Linked DNA regions of Saccharomyces cerevisiae S288C. Changing the gene in region 1 together with any one later gene gives a genetic interaction. Each region holds a gene or a part of one and is shown in the gene's direction. Other genes may lie near its edges. The genes, in order: BAT2, ILV3, ARO9 and PAD1.

Region 1 (4,700 bases):
GCCTCCCGGCCTAGGCCGCTGCTACTTTCAACTGATGTCACCGAAAAAAATAACGGAAAACGACAGTTCAAGAAAAAAAGAACGCAGGAAGAAAAAGGAAGCAAAATTACAGAATGTACGGCTGTTTAAAAATAAATAGTGGATGCATGGGTGCTTCCACGCGTCTCTGGGAAAAAAAACCAGGATATTTTAATGTTTGTTTATTTGTTTATTTCCTGCTGAACTGAATATTGAAAACATCGAAAAAATGCAGTACCCAGCTCTCCATTAGGACTTTTTACGTAATGACGAAAATGGACAAGCTGCGCAGGAAAGGACTACGAAAAGTATGCTGCCATAATGACAAGATAAGGCGCAACACACGTAATCATGACTAATGGTTGCACAGACGGTAGGCCAGGAGAAGGATTAGATCTCGTGCCGAACGACAGCAAGCTAGCTAGACTATGTTATCTGAGTGTAAACGAAAGCGCAGCAGTCTCTGCAAGAGCACGTGCGACGTGTCTGGTGTGCAAAAACCCTCTAGAGAAACATTGCTAAGGTTTACCGATGCAGGAAATCTTTAGTTCTAAAAGATGAAAGTCGGAAAAGCCAAAAAGAAACCGGAAATCTTCTCTGCGCATTGTTCTGTGGCCACGGCCTTCCTGGACCCGTCCTTCTTTTACCCGAACTTTGTCGCCCAAAAGGCATCTCATTATAATGACAAAACTGGATCTGCAAATATTTGGACATATATCTCCAGAACGGGCTCACTTCTCCTCTTCACCCAGGTGGTATATAGGAAGAGTAAGTGGACGCATCAGTCCGCGACATTTGCGGACTGTATATATTGCCAGTCAGGGCAGTCGCCAAGTGTGTCTCTTTCGTGTAGCGACGCACGTCAGACATGGATGCAACATCGAGGATGGAGCAGCCTGATGTCTTTGTAAGCAAACTCTACCACCTGCTGCAGGGGAACGCTTACTCGAACATAATACAATGGTCGACTGATGGCAGCAAGCTCGTCATTTGGAATCCGGACCAGTTCACCAAAGTCATCCTAGAGCGATTTTTTGGTATTCACACCTTTGCAGCATTCGTTAAGCAATTGAGCAAATATAACTTCCAGAAGGCGGGCCGCCCGGACTGCGTGGAGTTTTCCAACATTCATTTTCAAAAAGATAACATTAATAGCCTCTCACTGGTTAAAGCTCATCAGTCTGCCGCCACTCCCAATGTCGCCGCCGTCAATAATATGAATAAGCAGTGTACTTTTCACTGGGACCCTTTCAAAGTGAACTCCATTCTAAGCAAGGCCATCGGCAAGCCTTCCTTCGAGAAATTAGTGAAAAATGTTGACAGGCTTCAGGGCAATCTTGATGAGCTTAAGTCGACAAACGCAGATAGTCTGCGTATTATAAGGGAAATTAACGCCAGCTTACAGACAATCTCCTACCACCAGTTTCACGCCTACCAAACCGCTAACTTCCTTCAAGAAAATTTTGAAGCCATCAAAAAGGTTGTATGCCCGGACTCTTGTCTACAACACCAGCAACGCCAACCAAAGCGCCCCAAACGCTACTCGTTGCTGTTACTAATACCAAACGCATCCGAATTGTCAGAAACACCTTTGATGCGCTTCGCCGGCGTGTTCGAATTTATGAACTGCTCTTTGGATACGGCCACTCAGTGGCACCCGCAGTTGCATCCCGAGGCATACGACCTTCTTTTCGTCACCGTGTCGCCCAACATGCAACAAGAACATCTCATCTACTTCAAGAGACTGAGAAACCTACTCCCAAGCTTTCCTGTAATAGCCATTATTAACAGACCCGTCTCCCCTCAAGATACCAGCATTGCTCCCTCCAACTACTCTCGCTATTATTTCCACCATTTTTTGCAGTTGGGGTTCAGTGACATCCTAGTTAGCCCCTTCACCCCAACACAACTTATAACGCTCCTTTCCAAACATCTTCGAACGTGAAAACCTGCCTCTGAGGGTCATTCACGACCTAGCATACCACTATATACGTGTACGATTTTTTTTTTCTGTGACCGCACTACACCAAAGTTTAATGTTCCATTGGCCCCGGAACCATTCTTGCAAACGGCGTTCTTTTTCCGCTTTCGGGTGACACTTAATTTAGCTTCTTTTCCCTCTCTGACACCTCTTGTTATCTAATCTGTAGATCCGACTCTTTTTCTTTTTGGTGTCGTTCTTCTATGTCCGTTTTTCTGTCAACAAAAACGGAAATAATAGGTAGAAATTAAGAGCCGTACGTGAGTGAGAGGAGATCCGAAATGAGCTGACAGTATAACTAATATAAGCTTACAAGATATTCGACTATTTCCTGGGAAAAAATTCATTCCTTTGAGAAATCCTTAATAAAAACAGACTAACTACTAAAATTTTAGAAATTTAAGGGAAAGCATCTCCACGAGTTTTAAGAACGATATGACCTTGGCACCCCTAGACGCCTCCAAAGTTAAGATAACTACCACACAACATGCATCTAAGCCAAAACCGAACAGTGAGTTAGTGTTTGGCAAGAGCTTCACGGACCACATGTTAACTGCGGAATGGACAGCTGAAAAAGGGTGGGGTACCCCAGAGATTAAACCTTATCAAAATCTGTCTTTAGACCCTTCCGCGGTGGTTTTCCATTATGCTTTTGAGCTATTCGAAGGGATGAAGGCTTACAGAACGGTGGACAACAAAATTACAATGTTTCGTCCAGATATGAATATGAAGCGCATGAATAAGTCTGCTCAGAGAATCTGTTTGCCAACGTTCGACCCAGAAGAGTTGATTACCCTAATTGGGAAACTGATCCAGCAAGATAAGTGCTTAGTTCCTGAAGGAAAAGGTTACTCTTTATATATCAGGCCTACATTAATCGGCACTACGGCCGGTTTAGGGGTTTCCACGCCTGATAGAGCCTTGCTATATGTCATTTGCTGCCCTGTGGGTCCTTATTACAAAACTGGATTTAAGGCGGTCAGACTGGAAGCCACTGATTATGCCACAAGAGCTTGGCCAGGAGGCTGTGGTGACAAGAAACTAGGTGCAAACTACGCCCCCTGCGTCCTGCCACAATTGCAAGCTGCTTCAAGGGGTTACCAACAAAATTTATGGCTATTTGGTCCAAATAACAACATTACTGAAGTCGGCACCATGAATGCTTTTTTCGTGTTTAAAGATAGTAAAACGGGCAAGAAGGAACTAGTTACTGCTCCACTAGACGGTACCATTTTGGAAGGTGTTACTAGGGATTCCATTTTAAATCTTGCTAAAGAAAGACTCGAACCAAGTGAATGGACCATTAGTGAACGCTACTTCACTATAGGCGAAGTTACTGAGAGATCCAAGAACGGTGAACTACTTGAAGCCTTTGGTTCTGGTACTGCTGCGATTGTTTCTCCCATTAAGGAAATCGGCTGGAAAGGCGAACAAATTAATATTCCGTTGTTGCCCGGCGAACAAACCGGTCCATTGGCCAAAGAAGTTGCACAATGGATTAATGGAATCCAATATGGCGAGACTGAGCATGGCAATTGGTCAAGGGTTGTTACTGATTTGAACTGAAGTATCGCTATTGCTACGTAAAGTAATTAAAAGTTAAAAAGAATAAAACTAGAGCGTTTTTTCTACTGAGTTAAGGGGTCATGTCAGAATATAACATACCCTTTGACATTGTATATATGAATTCCTGGATTTTGCAGTGATCTGATAAAAAATGTATGTCGAAACCTGCAATTATCCTTTCGTTTTTTTTCTTGTCATCTAGTGCTGGCCTATCGGTATCAAGGACATCTTTTGCGCGGATAGAAAAGGGCCCATACATACCTTAGAAGCAACTCAAGACAATTCATGTACTTTTTAAACCAACTAATATTTCAAGACGTTTCCGTAATGTCGGTGGATAAAAGAGAAGATATGAGCAGATCTTTCCAAAAATGTTTAAACTTGAGATACCCTATCATCCAGGCCCCTATGGCGGGGGTCACGACTATTGAAATGGCCGCTAAGGCTTGTATTGCGGGCGCCATAGCTTCACTACCCCTATCCCACTTAGACTTCAGAAAGGTCAATGATATTGAAAAGCTTAAACTGATGGTTTCACAATTCAGAGATCAAGTAGCCGATGAATCTTTAGAGGGCAATCTCAACCTAAACTTTTTTTGCCATGATATCGTTGATAAACCGACCGATCTTCAAACAGCTAACTGGGCGAAGCTATACAGAAAGTCTATGAATGTGCCGATTGATATGAATGAGATTAAATTCGATAATGGTAATGTATCTTTTAAGGCATTTGAAAAAGAAAATGCTCTTCAAGATTTTTTCCAGTACCTATCAGATGGCTTTAGGCCTAAAATCATTAGTTTCCATTTTGGCCATCCGTCGAAATCTACAATAGAATATTTACAAAAAATTGGAATTCTAATTTTTGTGACTGCCACCTCTGTAAGAGAAGTTCGATTGTTAGCACGTCTCGGCATTAATGGCATAGTGTGTCAAGGCTATGAAGCGGGAGGACATAGAGGAAATTTCTTAGTAAATGACCCCAAAGATGATGAAAACTTATCAACTGTACAATTGGTGAAAAGAACAGTTGATGAACTTGCTGAAATGAAAAATAAAGGTCTTATACATGCTACTCCCTTTGTCATTGCAGCAGGTGGTATAATGGATTCCAAAGATATATCATACATGTTAT
Region 2 (5,704 bases), 240 kb from region 1:
ATGGACGAAGCCCACGATAAGCAGCGTAAGAAGTCCGTGCCGCCACCAAGAATGATGGTCACAAGGTCCATGAAACGCAGAAGATCCAGCTCCCCAACCCTATCCACCAGCCAAAACCACAATAGCGAAGACAATGATGACGCTAGCCATCGGCTGAAGCGTGCGGCCAGGACCATTATTCCCTGGGAGGAACTAAGACCCGACACTCTGGAATCTGAGCTGTGAAACGGGCGTCCTGCTTTTTCATTCTACACAGGCATATGTAACAGCAGTGTATAGGCTATGTAAATCGGCCCAATCAACAAACAAGCGTTGCTTATTGGACTTGCTACTACCCCAACAAAGGAGAGAGCCTTTGATTGCATCCTCGGAAGAGACGGCATAAACACCGAGCCTCATCCTACAATGAAAAACCACGCCAGTTGGATATAAACCAGAAAAGGGTTTCAATTCAGTATCCACCATGAGCAAGACAAGATAAGACAAGATTGCATAAAAATGAGTGCTTCCAAAATGGCCATGTCCAACCTAGAGAAAATATTGGAACTGGTTCCTCTTTCGCCTACCAGTTTTGTCACAAAGTATCTGCCTGCCGCGCCCGTAGGGTCTAAGGGCACTTTTGGTGGAACGCTGGTATCACAATCGCTGCTGGCGTCATTGCATACTGTGCCATTGAACTTCTTCCCCACATCGCTACATTCGTATTTCATCAAGGGTGGTGATCCGCGGACCAAGATCACGTACCATGTGCAGAATCTGAGAAACGGTAGAAATTTCATCCATAAGCAGGTTAGTGCTTATCAGCACGACAAGTTGATATTTACGTCGATGATCTTATTTGCCGTGCAACGGTCCAAGGAGCACGACTCCTTGCAGCACTGGGAGACGATTCCAGGCCTGCAAGGTAAGCAGCCAGACCCTCATCGTTATGAAGAGGCCACTTCGCTTTTCCAGAAAGAAGTTCTGGACCCACAGAAATTGAGCAGGTATGCCTCATTGTCCGACAGGTTCCAAGACGCAACCTCGATGAGCAAGTATGTGGATGCGTTTCAATACGGAGTCATGGAGTACCAATTCCCCAAGGACATGTTCTACTCGGCAAGACACACCGACGAGCTGGATTATTTCGTCAAAGTGAGACCTCCCATCACTACCGTGGAGCACGCGGGCGACGAGTCTTCTTTACACAAGCATCATCCGTACAGGATCCCGAAGAGCATTACTCCTGAGAACGACGCTCGCTACAACTACGTGGCCTTTGCGTATCTGTCCGATTCCTACCTCCTACTCACGATCCCGTACTTCCACAACCTGCCTTTGTACTGCCACAGTTTCAGTGTCTCGCTCGACCACACGATTTACTTTCACCAGTTGCCTCATGTGAACAATTGGATCTATCTTAAGATTTCGAATCCCAGGTCCCACTGGGACAAGCACCTCGTACAGGGCAAGTATTTCGACACACAGTCGGGACGCATCATGGCAAGCGTCTCTCAGGAGGGCTACGTTGTCTACGGGTCAGAACGAGACATTCGAGCCAAGTTCTGAGGACAATTCCCTCCCACGTATAAACACATACATATATATTCTTATATTATATAATAATATCCTATTTATTATTACATCACCTTTCACGAGCGGGTATCATACCTTTTTCCCTTCGATCTAAGTAGAAAAAGGACCTGAATGATCATTGTGGTACTTATTCCCACGCATAACCGACTACGGCACCACAACGACGCACCAATGCCATCTGACGTAGCATCGAGGACCGGGCTGCCAACCCCGTGGACCGTCAGGTATAGTAAGTCCAAGAAAAGAGAGTATTTTTTCAATCCAGAGACGAAGCACTCGCAATGGGAGGAGCCTGAGGGCACCAACAAGGACCAGCTACACAAGCACTTAAGAGACCATCCAGTGCGTGTAAGATGCCTGCACATTCTCATCAAGCACAAGGATTCAAGAAGACCCGCATCGCATAGATCCGAGAACATTACGATATCCAAGCAAGACGCTACGGACGAACTGAAAACCTTAATCACGAGGTTGGATGACGACTCTAAGACGAACTCCTTCGAGGCCCTGGCTAAAGAGAGATCAGATTGCTCTTCATACAAGCGAGGCGGCGACCTCGGCTGGTTCGGGAGAGGCGAGATGCAGCCTAGCTTTGAAGACGCTGCCTTCCAGCTCAAGGTCGGCGAGGTAAGCGATATCGTTGAATCAGGAAGCGGTGTTCATGTGATCAAGCGGGTAGGTTAGGTTGGCATTTGCTTCTCCACCTCACCTTTTTATGTTCTTATTCCCTCTTGTATCCATTCCGTCCTCGCTGAACCCATGAAAAGAAAAAAAATTAACTAGTCACATAGTTAAATGGCGCTGTTCTTCGCTGCGAGCGGAACCGGGCCTGAAAAAAAATTTTCTCTTTTCCTCTCCAGATGACTCAGTAATATAGTAGTATATTATATAATGTAACAAAAGAAGAGACTGAAGTTTTATTATGCATTGTAGCGCCTGTAATCTTTAGTAACGGATTCTTGTATTTTTTTGTAAACAGCCAAGAAAAAAGTAGAGATGGGCTTGTTAACGAAAGTTGCTACATCTAGACAATTCTCTACAACGAGATGCGTTGCAAAGAAGCTCAACAAGTACTCGTATATCATCACTGAACCTAAGGGCCAAGGTGCGTCCCAGGCCATGCTTTATGCCACCGGTTTCAAGAAGGAAGATTTCAAGAAGCCTCAAGTCGGGGTTGGTTCCTGTTGGTGGTCCGGTAACCCATGTAACATGCATCTATTGGACTTGAATAACAGATGTTCTCAATCCATTGAAAAAGCGGGTTTGAAAGCTATGCAGTTCAACACCATCGGTGTTTCAGACGGTATCTCTATGGGTACTAAAGGTATGAGATACTCGTTACAAAGTAGAGAAATCATTGCAGACTCCTTTGAAACCATCATGATGGCACAACACTACGATGCTAACATCGCCATCCCATCATGTGACAAAAACATGCCCGGTGTCATGATGGCCATGGGTAGACATAACAGACCTTCCATCATGGTATATGGTGGTACTATCTTGCCCGGTCATCCAACATGTGGTTCTTCGAAGATCTCTAAAAACATCGATATCGTCTCTGCGTTCCAATCCTACGGTGAATATATTTCCAAGCAATTCACTGAAGAAGAAAGAGAAGATGTTGTGGAACATGCATGCCCAGGTCCTGGTTCTTGTGGTGGTATGTATACTGCCAACACAATGGCTTCTGCCGCTGAAGTGCTAGGTTTGACCATTCCAAACTCCTCTTCCTTCCCAGCCGTTTCCAAGGAGAAGTTAGCTGAGTGTGACAACATTGGTGAATACATCAAGAAGACAATGGAATTGGGTATTTTACCTCGTGATATCCTCACAAAAGAGGCTTTTGAAAACGCCATTACTTATGTCGTTGCAACCGGTGGGTCCACTAATGCTGTTTTGCATTTGGTGGCTGTTGCTCACTCTGCGGGTGTCAAGTTGTCACCAGATGATTTCCAAAGAATCAGTGATACTACACCATTGATCGGTGACTTCAAACCTTCTGGTAAATACGTCATGGCCGATTTGATTAACGTTGGTGGTACCCAATCTGTGATTAAGTATCTATATGAAAACAACATGTTGCACGGTAACACAATGACTGTTACCGGTGACACTTTGGCAGAACGTGCAAAGAAAGCACCAAGCCTACCTGAAGGACAAGAGATTATTAAGCCACTCTCCCACCCAATCAAGGCCAACGGTCACTTGCAAATTCTGTACGGTTCATTGGCACCAGGTGGAGCTGTGGGTAAAATTACCGGTAAGGAAGGTACTTACTTCAAGGGTAGAGCACGTGTGTTCGAAGAGGAAGGTGCCTTTATTGAAGCCTTGGAAAGAGGTGAAATCAAGAAGGGTGAAAAAACCGTTGTTGTTATCAGATATGAAGGTCCAAGAGGTGCACCAGGTATGCCTGAAATGCTAAAGCCTTCCTCTGCTCTGATGGGTTACGGTTTGGGTAAAGATGTTGCATTGTTGACTGATGGTAGATTCTCTGGTGGTTCTCACGGGTTCTTAATCGGCCACATTGTTCCCGAAGCCGCTGAAGGTGGTCCTATCGGGTTGGTCAGAGACGGCGATGAGATTATCATTGATGCTGATAATAACAAGATTGACCTATTAGTCTCTGATAAGGAAATGGCTCAACGTAAACAAAGTTGGGTTGCACCTCCACCTCGTTACACAAGAGGTACTCTATCCAAGTATGCTAAGTTGGTTTCCAACGCTTCCAACGGTTGTGTTTTAGATGCTTGATGCATTATAGGCCCCAATCGATGAATATATATATAGAGATTCTCCTTTTCCATCATCTTTTTTGTTCGCAATCTTTTCATATATATATATATATAAATATTTATTATAGTCCATTGAATGGATAAACATTTATTTAAAAAAAAACAACGATCAGTATTTTTTTATTTGAAAAGTCGCCTTAATTATAATCTACGAAATTAACTCTGCTTTGCTGCCACTAAAGCCTTCTGTTTTAGTTTTCTACTAGCATACTTGCCAACAAATGGTAACAGTGCCGTATTCAAGGCAATGAGTGCGACTAAAATACCATAATTCCGACCCATCTTGCGTCTTGTCACGTCAAAAAAAATAACCCTGTAGATATCGATGACGTTGTGAACGGGCATCATGTACCCATATCTATAAACATTATTGTTTAGCGCTAATGGGAAGAAAGAAGGTGCAATATTGAGAATGACAAATGATAGGATCCAGAACCCGAGATACTGGGGTCCTAACGTAATAACAAGCATAACCGCATTTTCGTTAGCTCCTCCCGCAGCAAGCATGAAGAGCCACGTAGACATCCAATATACGACGAAGCCACCTCTACCAAAGGACTTGGTAAAATCGACTTGAAAGATGGCGGTTGTTGTGCAGAAGAACAAAGACGCAAAGAAAAAGGTGAACCATGACATAGCGATACGGTAAATTAAACCGTTGGCTGGTCTTAGCACTTTTGCCATTTCTACGTGTAATGGGCCGTACAATAGAAATTGGAAAAAAGTTAGCAGTAAACAGTAAACAACACCGATTTGTGTGGGTGCCAGTAGAATACGGTCTGTGAATGGTCTGTGGTCATAGTATTCGTAGTTATATTTACCTGCTGCAGCGATATACCTTGCATTGTTAGTTAGTGCATAACGATATACCTGGGTTATGTTTGTCAATAACGGCGGCAGATAATTTAGTGTGTAGAATGTATGGTAGTACTCTTCAATGGTCTGAGCAACCGGTAAAATCGTTGATTTTAGGTTTGTCGGGTCTCTACCAGTTTCATATACCACCTGATTAAACAGCGTAGAATTGAATAGTGGTGCGGTATCGTTGATTAGTGATTCAAATAGAGTCTCCGTGGCGTTTGGCTTGATATTAATGGCAAACCAGTATTTTTCGTCGTAAACCAAATCGACAACCTTGTCATTGACTTGCTGTGGCGTATTTACGTCGAACTTGGCCTGGAAGGTAGGACTGTTATAAATATCCCAATCACATGGTATTTTATTGATAAAAGTAGGCAAAGCATACGATATGGAGGGCACTACCATGGAACTGTTATTATCCAAAATTACCACAGGGGGTTCCTGGATAACAACCAGAAGCTTAACTTTGTGTA
Region 3 (5,199 bases), on another chromosome or scaffold:
ACAATAGTAGAGTCATCTCTGGAAGAGTTGCTGTTGGAGTTGGCGGCGGTCGTGGCGGTCATCGAAGATCTTGCGGGCGAGTCGACAGCCTGGTGGTGGAGTTGTTTGTTTGCTTGTACGTTAAAATTTGCGTTTCCGTTTATATTGGTGAGGTTGTTAACTGCTAGAGTGGTACTTGCTATGGGCATGGACATGGGGAAGAGGAGAGCAGGAAAAGGGCCAGCGAATGCGCGAAATTTTTGTATGTGTCTTTTCTCTACTATGGCATCCACATGAAAACCAGTCACAGAGCACTCAATGAACGGTTTGCGTTTGTTGTTTGTAAGAAGCAAGCAGAAATCAAAGACCCATGTATACGATCGCTGATTTGTTTTGTTCTGTTTTTTCTTGTTCCGGCGAAAAAATCGTAAGAAACGAAAGGAGAACGAGCCCACAGGCGGGGTAACATCAAAAGGATTTATATTAGATCGTAAAGTCAATGCATATGTAACAGTACAGAGGTAGAAGGTATGTATGTGTAACGATTAAGAGATGCAATCATGATTGTTCTTCGTCAGACGAATCTTCGAATATGTCTTCGTCAATGACACAGTCGTTCTCCCAAAAGTCATGGGCGAGCTTGCTTAAAACGGCGGCAGCGTTTTGACGCTGCGCTCTACTTGAATCTTTCTCATTAATGTACTCGTTATACTCTTTAAAAGTTGATCCACTGAGAGATTGTGACTGCGATGTTCTACGTGGAGTATAGTAACTAGCAGGATTGAGCCTCCTGCACTCTTTGAGCCTCAATAGAGAAGCGATCTCCTCGGAGAGTTTTCTTCCCTTATGCTGGTGACCATCTTTAAGTTGTTTGTGTTGTCCTTGTGAAACTGCTGTTTCCATTTTGCCGCGTGGAGACATCTGTCCAATTTGCCCCTGGCTCTCTGTAAATACCCATATATGAACGTTATATATATTGTATATTAATGGCGTATATGTGCCCATGGGAAGTCATAGTAATAGATCTAGGCACGTGGCTGCAGTGACTCCGCGCAGGGCTGTACCGCCAAGGTAGATAAGAGAGCGGAGCACGTGGGAAAAGAGAGATACGGTATGTTACAACAGTCAAAGTAATGAACTTTCGCCCACGTGCGTACATCATTTACTATCTCAGGCCGCTGCGTTTGGAACTTTACGGCGTTGTAGTTGTAATTGCCATAACTGCCATGCATTTATGTATATATATTTTCGTACGTAATGAACATGGTTATGTTATATATTGTTTGCAATCAGAGAGAAGTTGAAGAGGAGAAAAAAAAAAAGAGAGAGCCGTACCGCAATAAAATGGACCCTTGTCGGTCACGTGAGCAAAAATACTATTGCCGCCGACGGCCGTAGATAATAACAAAGGAATAAAAAAAAAAAAGCGGTAACTCGCGGAAGCATTGCCGATGCTTACCGAGATTTGCCGCGGATAACCGAACCATCATTGGGGTAGGAAACATTATAAATATTTGATATATATAAAGGAAAAAGCTTGATTTGGTCTTGTAATATCCCAGTGTAAACATAAAAATACACACATACCACAATTACACTCTCTCATCGACTCAATGACTGCTGGTTCTGCCCCCCCTGTTGATTACACTTCCTTAAAGAAGAACTTCCAACCGTTTCTCTCCAGAAGAGTAGAAAATAGATCTCTGAAAAGCTTTTGGGATGCTTCTGATATCTCAGATGACGTCATTGAGCTAGCTGGTGGAATGCCAAACGAGAGATTTTTTCCTATCGAATCTATGGATTTGAAAATATCAAAAGTTCCTTTTAATGATAACCCAAAATGGCATAATTCGTTTACCACGGCGCATTTGGACTTGGGATCCCCCAGTGAGCTACCCATTGCACGTTCTTTCCAATATGCAGAAACCAAGGGTTTACCCCCTCTCTTACATTTTGTTAAAGATTTTGTGTCCAGAATTAATCGCCCAGCCTTTTCCGATGAGACGGAGTCTAACTGGGATGTCATCCTTTCTGGCGGGTCCAACGATTCAATGTTTAAGGTTTTTGAAACAATTTGCGACGAATCGACCACTGTGATGATTGAAGAGTTTACTTTCACCCCGGCTATGTCCAATGTGGAGGCTACAGGAGCAAAAGTCATCCCCATCAAGATGAACCTGACCTTCGACAGAGAGTCCCAGGGTATTGATGTCGAATATCTAACGCAGTTGCTCGATAATTGGTCAACTGGACCATACAAAGACTTAAACAAGCCAAGGGTCCTATATACCATTGCAACGGGCCAAAATCCTACCGGGATGTCTGTCCCCCAGTGGAAAAGAGAGAAAATTTACCAGTTGGCCCAAAGACACGATTTCCTCATTGTTGAAGATGATCCCTACGGTTATCTGTACTTTCCTTCCTATAATCCGCAAGAGCCATTAGAAAACCCTTACCATTCTAGCGACCTGACTACTGAACGGTATTTGAATGATTTTTTAATGAAATCATTCTTGACTTTGGATACAGATGCCCGTGTCATCCGTTTGGAGACTTTTTCTAAAATTTTTGCTCCTGGATTAAGGTTATCCTTCATCGTTGCTAATAAATTCCTTTTGCAAAAAATCTTGGATTTGGCCGACATTACTACAAGGGCCCCCAGTGGTACCTCACAAGCTATTGTTTATTCTACAATAAAGGCAATGGCTGAGTCCAACTTATCGTCCTCTCTTTCTATGAAAGAAGCAATGTTTGAGGGTTGGATAAGATGGATAATGCAGATTGCTTCTAAATACAATCATAGGAAAAATCTTACTTTGAAAGCCTTATACGAAACAGAATCTTACCAAGCTGGTCAGTTTACCGTTATGGAACCCTCCGCGGGTATGTTCATCATTATTAAAATCAATTGGGGGAATTTCGATAGACCTGACGATTTGCCGCAACAGATGGATATTTTAGATAAGTTCTTGCTGAAGAATGGTGTTAAAGTAGTGCTTGGTTATAAAATGGCTGTTTGCCCAAATTATTCAAAGCAGAATTCAGATTTTCTAAGACTCACCATCGCCTATGCAAGGGATGATGATCAGTTGATTGAAGCTTCCAAAAGAATCGGTAGTGGCATAAAAGAATTTTTTGACAACTATAAAAGTTGAACAGTGAAGATTAAACCTATGTGTTATTTGCATATCATATATAAATTGTAGTTTTTTGTATAAAAGTTGGGAAAAAGTTATAGTCGCGTATATTTTAAATTACTCTAAGCAACTAAATGGTCACGGTTTAGAGCATGAACTTCTGAATCCTTTTCCAAATTGCATTTAGCACCGTACTCGCTTTCAATATAGCTCAAACGTTCTTTCAGACCGTCCAAAATTTGGTCGCTATCAGGTAAGTCCACTGTAAAGCCCTTTATCAAGCTATATTCGTGTGTTATTTTACCCCCTATGTCCACCACATATTTTTTGACATCTTCAATAATGCTATTCTGGTCCGTAGCCATATTATCCGTCTTGGGGAAAGTTACGATGTATGATGATAAGGAAGATGCCTGTGCCATGGAGAATATGCTAATGAAAATCAAAACTAAGTAACTGGCCTTCATATATATGCTATAGTCTGTTACACAATAGATTTAAATGTTGTAATATAACGAGGAAACGCAACTTATCCATTTGTTCTCTCCATCGCATCGCTTTTTCTTAAATACTTTTGCCCCCCACCCCTTTATCCACTTGCGTTTTCCTCTTTTCTTCGCCTCTTTTTGGTAGCGCCGACCGATCTAATCGGAATAATCAAATTTAATAGGAACTGAATATTAGAAATTATTGAAGTCAATATACTGTAAAAACTATAAATCCTGTAACGAACATAAAAAAAGAAAACATAAAGGAAGCGCGTGATGTATCAGTAACATCACATAGTACAATAAAAAAGAAAGAGAACACTGATAATAACTGTACTGAAGACAAACAATTAGGAAAGTAACGACGATCTTTCTTTCGTCCAGTCATCATAACAATATGTGTTTTTGTTTTTGTTTTTGTTTTTGTTTTTGTTTTTGTTTTTGTTTTTATTTTATTTATTTTTTGCTTATTTTCGTAGTACACAACACATAATCATCTTATTGTTGACTAACAGGGAAGATTTGTTGTAACTCGCTACTACTTGTGACTTGATTATGGATAGCAATAGACAACAAAGTTTGCGCTTGGATTGGTGACAAGTACCCAGCAGAAATTGCACCTTGTGGAATACTTGTGTTACTTATGAACCCAATTCCTGAACCATCATGACCACTGGATCCATCACTTGCATAAACGACAGGGAAGTCGACCGATGTCCATGATGCCACGGTACTGTTGTGACTTGTACCAGAGCTGACAACAACCAAACCTTGGATACTAGAACTTAGTGATTGAATTAAGCTTTGAGAATATCCTTCTTCGTATATAATTGGAACCAATGGACTGGAGGATGATGAGGATGTATTGGTCCCGGAGGAGGCATTAGAAGATATTTGTGCGCTCGTAAAATTCGAGTATTGAGTTCTGATTGTGGAGTTGCTGGCAATCAGAGTTGGCTCACAGGCATCAAAGAACCATTGAACATTCTTCTGACCAGACAAAACGCCCACAGGAACAGTGTAAGGAGGGAAAACACCAGAATACACAACTTTATCTCTACCGGCAACCAAAGTGCCTCTACCTTCCGCGTCCGAACTACTCAATATTGGTACACCCCATAAGAAATTCTCAGTAATGACAATGGTCTTTGATGTATTAAAAACGATTGAGCAGAAGAAACTCAAAGTTTCAATGGAACGCCAGTTTGTGACGATTATAATGCCGGAAGACGATTCGCTTTGTAAAGTCTGATTAACTTGAGTAGCAATTTGGTAAAGTTGAGTGATGTTTAAGGTGGAAGTAGAGTTGAATAGCGTTGTGGTAGTAACGTTTGACTGGCTACCAGATACAGCAGGTCCACCCGTGATGATCACGGGGACCGTACCGCCGCCAGAAGTAACGTTCTGCCTCTTGTAAAGTGGTGTTGCAGAAGCTGTTAAAGTTGCAAGAAAAAATGCTAGCACTGATGTGAATTTCATAATAGCTGATTGGGTTCTTAGATGTGAAAACTGATCGAAATCAAATACTAGAGCATGATTGATAGGAACAAGAGAAACCAAAAGTGTTTTTAGCTTTCCTCCCAATTTTTATAGTA
Region 4 (3,071 bases), on another chromosome or scaffold:
AAAGCTAGGTAGACGTAAGCTGTTTTTATTAGGTGCCACAGGTCAAGCAGTTTCATTCACAATTACATTTGCATGCTTGGTCAAAGAAAATAAAGAAAACGCAAGAGGTGCTGCCGTCGGCTTATTTTTGTTCATTACATTCTTTGGTTTGTCTTTGCTATCATTACCATGGATATACCCACCAGAAATTGCATCAATGAAAGTTCGTGCATCAACAAACGCTTTCTCCACATGTACTAATTGGTTGTGTAACTTTGCGGTTGTCATGTTCACCCCAATATTTATTGGACAGTCCGGTTGGGGTTGCTACTTATTTTTTGCTGTTATGAATTATTTATACATTCCAGTTATCTTCTTTTTCTACCCTGAAACCGCCGGAAGAAGTTTGGAGGAAATCGACATCATCTTTGCTAAAGCATACGAGGATGGCACTCAACCATGGAGAGTTGCTAACCATTTGCCCAAGTTATCCCTACAAGAAGTCGAAGATCATGCCAATGCATTGGGCTCTTATGACGACGAAATGGAAAAAGAGGACTTTGGTGAAGATAGAGTAGAAGACACCTATAACCAAATTAACGGCGATAATTCGTCTAGTTCTTCAAACATCAAAAATGAAGATACAGTGAACGATAAAGCAAATTTTGAGGGTTGATTCACACACAACTCACAAATCATATTTTGTAATTTACTTAAGAAAGCATTTTGCGGGGTTTATATTTGTTCCTTGCCGCACCAATAATATTCATATATTACTACATAACTTTAGTATTTTAACACCAGACGATCTGTCTTTTGAGGAAATATGTCCACTTTCATTTTCTTCCGCTTGCCGGCAATGCCTATAAAAAGCTTATAAAATAGCCCGACTCCGTAGTCTTAATATTTATTTAAGTACAATAATAGTCCCACAAAAATTTTTAAAACATCTTTATTGATAACGTGGACGTGTTATTACATTGGAGCGAATGATGACGGAAGTAGGAAAATCTGAATACTAAGGTGAAGATATTTTAGCAGGGTGCCGCCATGGATGTTCTATGAATGTCTTCCTTCCTTTTCTCTCATGGGACACCGCAAAAACCTGTTCTACCATCATTTAACTGCAACATACAAAAAGCCACCAACTTTCGAACACTGCAAATGGTGCTATTCTCTTTTTGCGGTCTTGCCATGATATTCTTCTTGCAAAAAGGGTTTTAGAGCAAGATTTCAAATTAGCCATGAATATCATGCATCGCTTAGAGCAGTAAGATTTTACCAGAGCTTTACAGGACCTATTTTTCATACGTTATGCACTTCATTCTTCTTGTCGGTTTGATAACAGCAGAATCTAGTTCCTTTAATTTGAACGTTAGCCCGGCAGAAGCCATACCTCGAAAACGCAGCAGCGCTTCATAGGCATATCAAAAACAGGGCAAGGGACACCATACATCACCTAGTGCTGTTACTTATAACCAACTTGACAACGATTGCACAAGAAAAGAGTATATCTGTGAAGACAGCCAAAACGCTTAACATGTTATGACATAAATTGCAGACAAGAAATTGGATGTATTTTACAGACTTTGCATTCCTGTCTGAAAGCCTTTTTACATAAAAATGGTTTCATTAGTAGCACTTCGTATCGTTTTCAAATAATGATGAGATGCTCCAAAAGGAAAGTTGGCACAGAAAAAATGACGCGCCTTTCCTGTTTACCGTTAAACTTCTCAGAAAAAGTATACTCGACCCATTTTTAAGATTGGTGATGGATAGAATTTCATTTAACATAATGCTGCAAATATAGATTGATTTCAATCTACGGAGTCCAACGCATTGAGCAGCTTCAATTGAGTAGATATGCTCCTATTTCCAAGAAGAACTAATATAGCCTTTTTCAAAACAACAGGCATTTTTGCTAATTTTCCTTTGCTAGGTAGAACCATTACAACTTCACCATCTTTCCTTACACATAAACTGTCAAAGGAAGTAACCAGGGCATCAACTTCGCCTCCAAGACCAAAGAGAATTGTTGTCGCAATTACTGGTGCGACTGGTGTTGCACTGGGAATCAGACTTCTACAAGTGCTAAAAGAGTTGAGCGTAGAAACCCATTTGGTGATTTCAAAATGGGGTGCAGCAACAATGAAATATGAAACAGATTGGGAACCGCATGACGTGGCGGCCTTGGCAACCAAGACATACTCTGTTCGTGATGTTTCTGCATGCATTTCGTCCGGATCTTTCCAGCATGATGGTATGATTGTTGTGCCCTGTTCCATGAAATCACTAGCTGCTATTAGAATCGGTTTTACAGAGGATTTAATTACAAGAGCTGCCGATGTTTCGATTAAAGAGAATCGTAAGTTACTACTGGTTACTCGGGAAACCCCTTTATCTTCCATCCATCTTGAAAACATGTTGTCTTTATGCAGGGCAGGTGTTATAATTTTTCCTCCGGTACCTGCGTTTTATACAAGACCCAAGAGCCTTCATGACCTATTAGAACAAAGTGTTGGCAGGATCCTAGACTGCTTTGGCATCCACGCTGACACTTTTCCTCGTTGGGAAGGAATAAAAAGCAAGTAACACTTTTTCTGAGCATTTTATTACGTTACTCAACTACTAATAGAGTTGATTTGTTACTTGCTAAAATCTTTTTATATTTCTTTTAGCCCCGACAGAACTTGTTGCAAATGAATACAAACCGTGAACTTCCCGATATCATTCTAATTGAACCCAGATATTTACACATGTACTTCTTACTCATTTTCAATGTCAGCTTAAATATCGTCTAAAACAATATTTTACTAGATACGCAGTTCAATCTTCGCGCATATTTTCACGAAAGTCCAAATTGCGTACGTAGTTTTATGTCAAAGTGACCGCCGTTGTAGCGTACTTTTTCCTATAAGACAAGCTCGTGATATCAGGAATATATCAGGAATGTAAACGAATACCGCATATCTTTTTGATTTTTTTCCTCTGAGTTATTCTATTCTTGACATTATTACATCACCAATTCAAAAGAATTGTCAATTTATATATTTAAATGAGGAAGCTAAATCCAGCTTTAGAATTTAGAGACT

What was found.
Region 2: mutations in BAT2 (region 1) and ILV3 are lethal when combined (synthetic lethality), as found in Saccharomyces cerevisiae (2 studies listed by BioGRID, with this or other methods).
Region 3: of BAT2 (region 1) and ARO9, changing one suppresses a phenotype caused by changing the other (phenotypic suppression), as found in Saccharomyces cerevisiae (one study listed by BioGRID).
Region 4: of BAT2 (region 1) and PAD1, changing one enhances a phenotype caused by changing the other (phenotypic enhancement), as found in Saccharomyces cerevisiae (one study listed by BioGRID).

What each region holds. Positions count from the first base shown.
Region 1 is NC_001142.9:703,310-708,009, forward strand, and holds BAT2 (branched-chain-amino-acid transaminase BAT2), read left to right. Parts: upstream 1-2,434; coding exon 2,435-3,565; downstream 3,566-4,700. Other genes in the region: YJR146W (uncharacterized protein), read left to right, coding at 576-929; HMS2 (Hms2p), read left to right, coding at 887-1,963; YJR149W (putative nitronate monooxygenase), read left to right, coding at 3,851-4,700. UniProt on the Saccharomyces cerevisiae protein: Cytoplasmic isozyme of branched-chain-amino-acid aminotransferase, which catalyzes the first reaction in the catabolism of the essential branched chain amino acids (BCAAs) leucine, isoleucine, and valine.
Region 2 is NC_001142.9:463,076-468,779, reverse strand, and holds ILV3 (dihydroxy-acid dehydratase ILV3), read left to right. Parts: upstream 1-2,571; coding exon 2,572-4,329; downstream 4,330-5,704. Other genes in the region: REC107 (Rec107p), read left to right, coding at 1-225; TES1 (palmitoyl-CoA hydrolase), read left to right, coding at 499-1,548; peptidylprolyl isomerase ESS1, read left to right, coding at 1,747-2,259; YJR015W (uncharacterized protein), read right to left, coding at 4,527-5,704. UniProt on the Saccharomyces cerevisiae protein: Dihydroxyacid dehydratase that catalyzes the third step in the common pathway leading to biosynthesis of branched-chain amino acids.
Region 3 is NC_001140.6:374,117-379,315, forward strand, and holds ARO9 (aromatic-amino-acid:2-oxoglutarate transaminase), read left to right. Parts: upstream 1-1,592; coding exon 1,593-3,134; downstream 3,135-5,199. Other genes in the region: serine/threonine protein kinase YCK1, read right to left, coding at 1-194; SPL2 (Spl2p), read right to left, coding at 538-984; YHR138C (uncharacterized protein), read right to left, coding at 3,239-3,583; SPS100 (Sps100p), read right to left, coding at 4,103-5,083. UniProt on the Saccharomyces cerevisiae protein: General aromatic amino acid transaminase involved in several otherwise unrelated metabolic pathways. Mainly involved in tryptophan degradation.
Region 4 is NC_001136.10:1,509,060-1,512,130, forward strand, and holds PAD1 (phenylacrylic acid decarboxylase PAD1), read left to right. Parts: upstream 1-1,842; coding exon 1,843-2,571; downstream 2,572-3,071. Other genes in the region: glucose-inactivated glycerol proton symporter STL1, read left to right, coding at 1-655; putative phenylacrylic acid decarboxylase FDC1, read left to right, coding at 3,035-3,071. UniProt on the Saccharomyces cerevisiae protein: Flavin prenyltransferase that catalyzes the synthesis of the prenylated FMN cofactor (prenyl-FMN) for the ferulic acid decarboxylase FDC1/ubiD.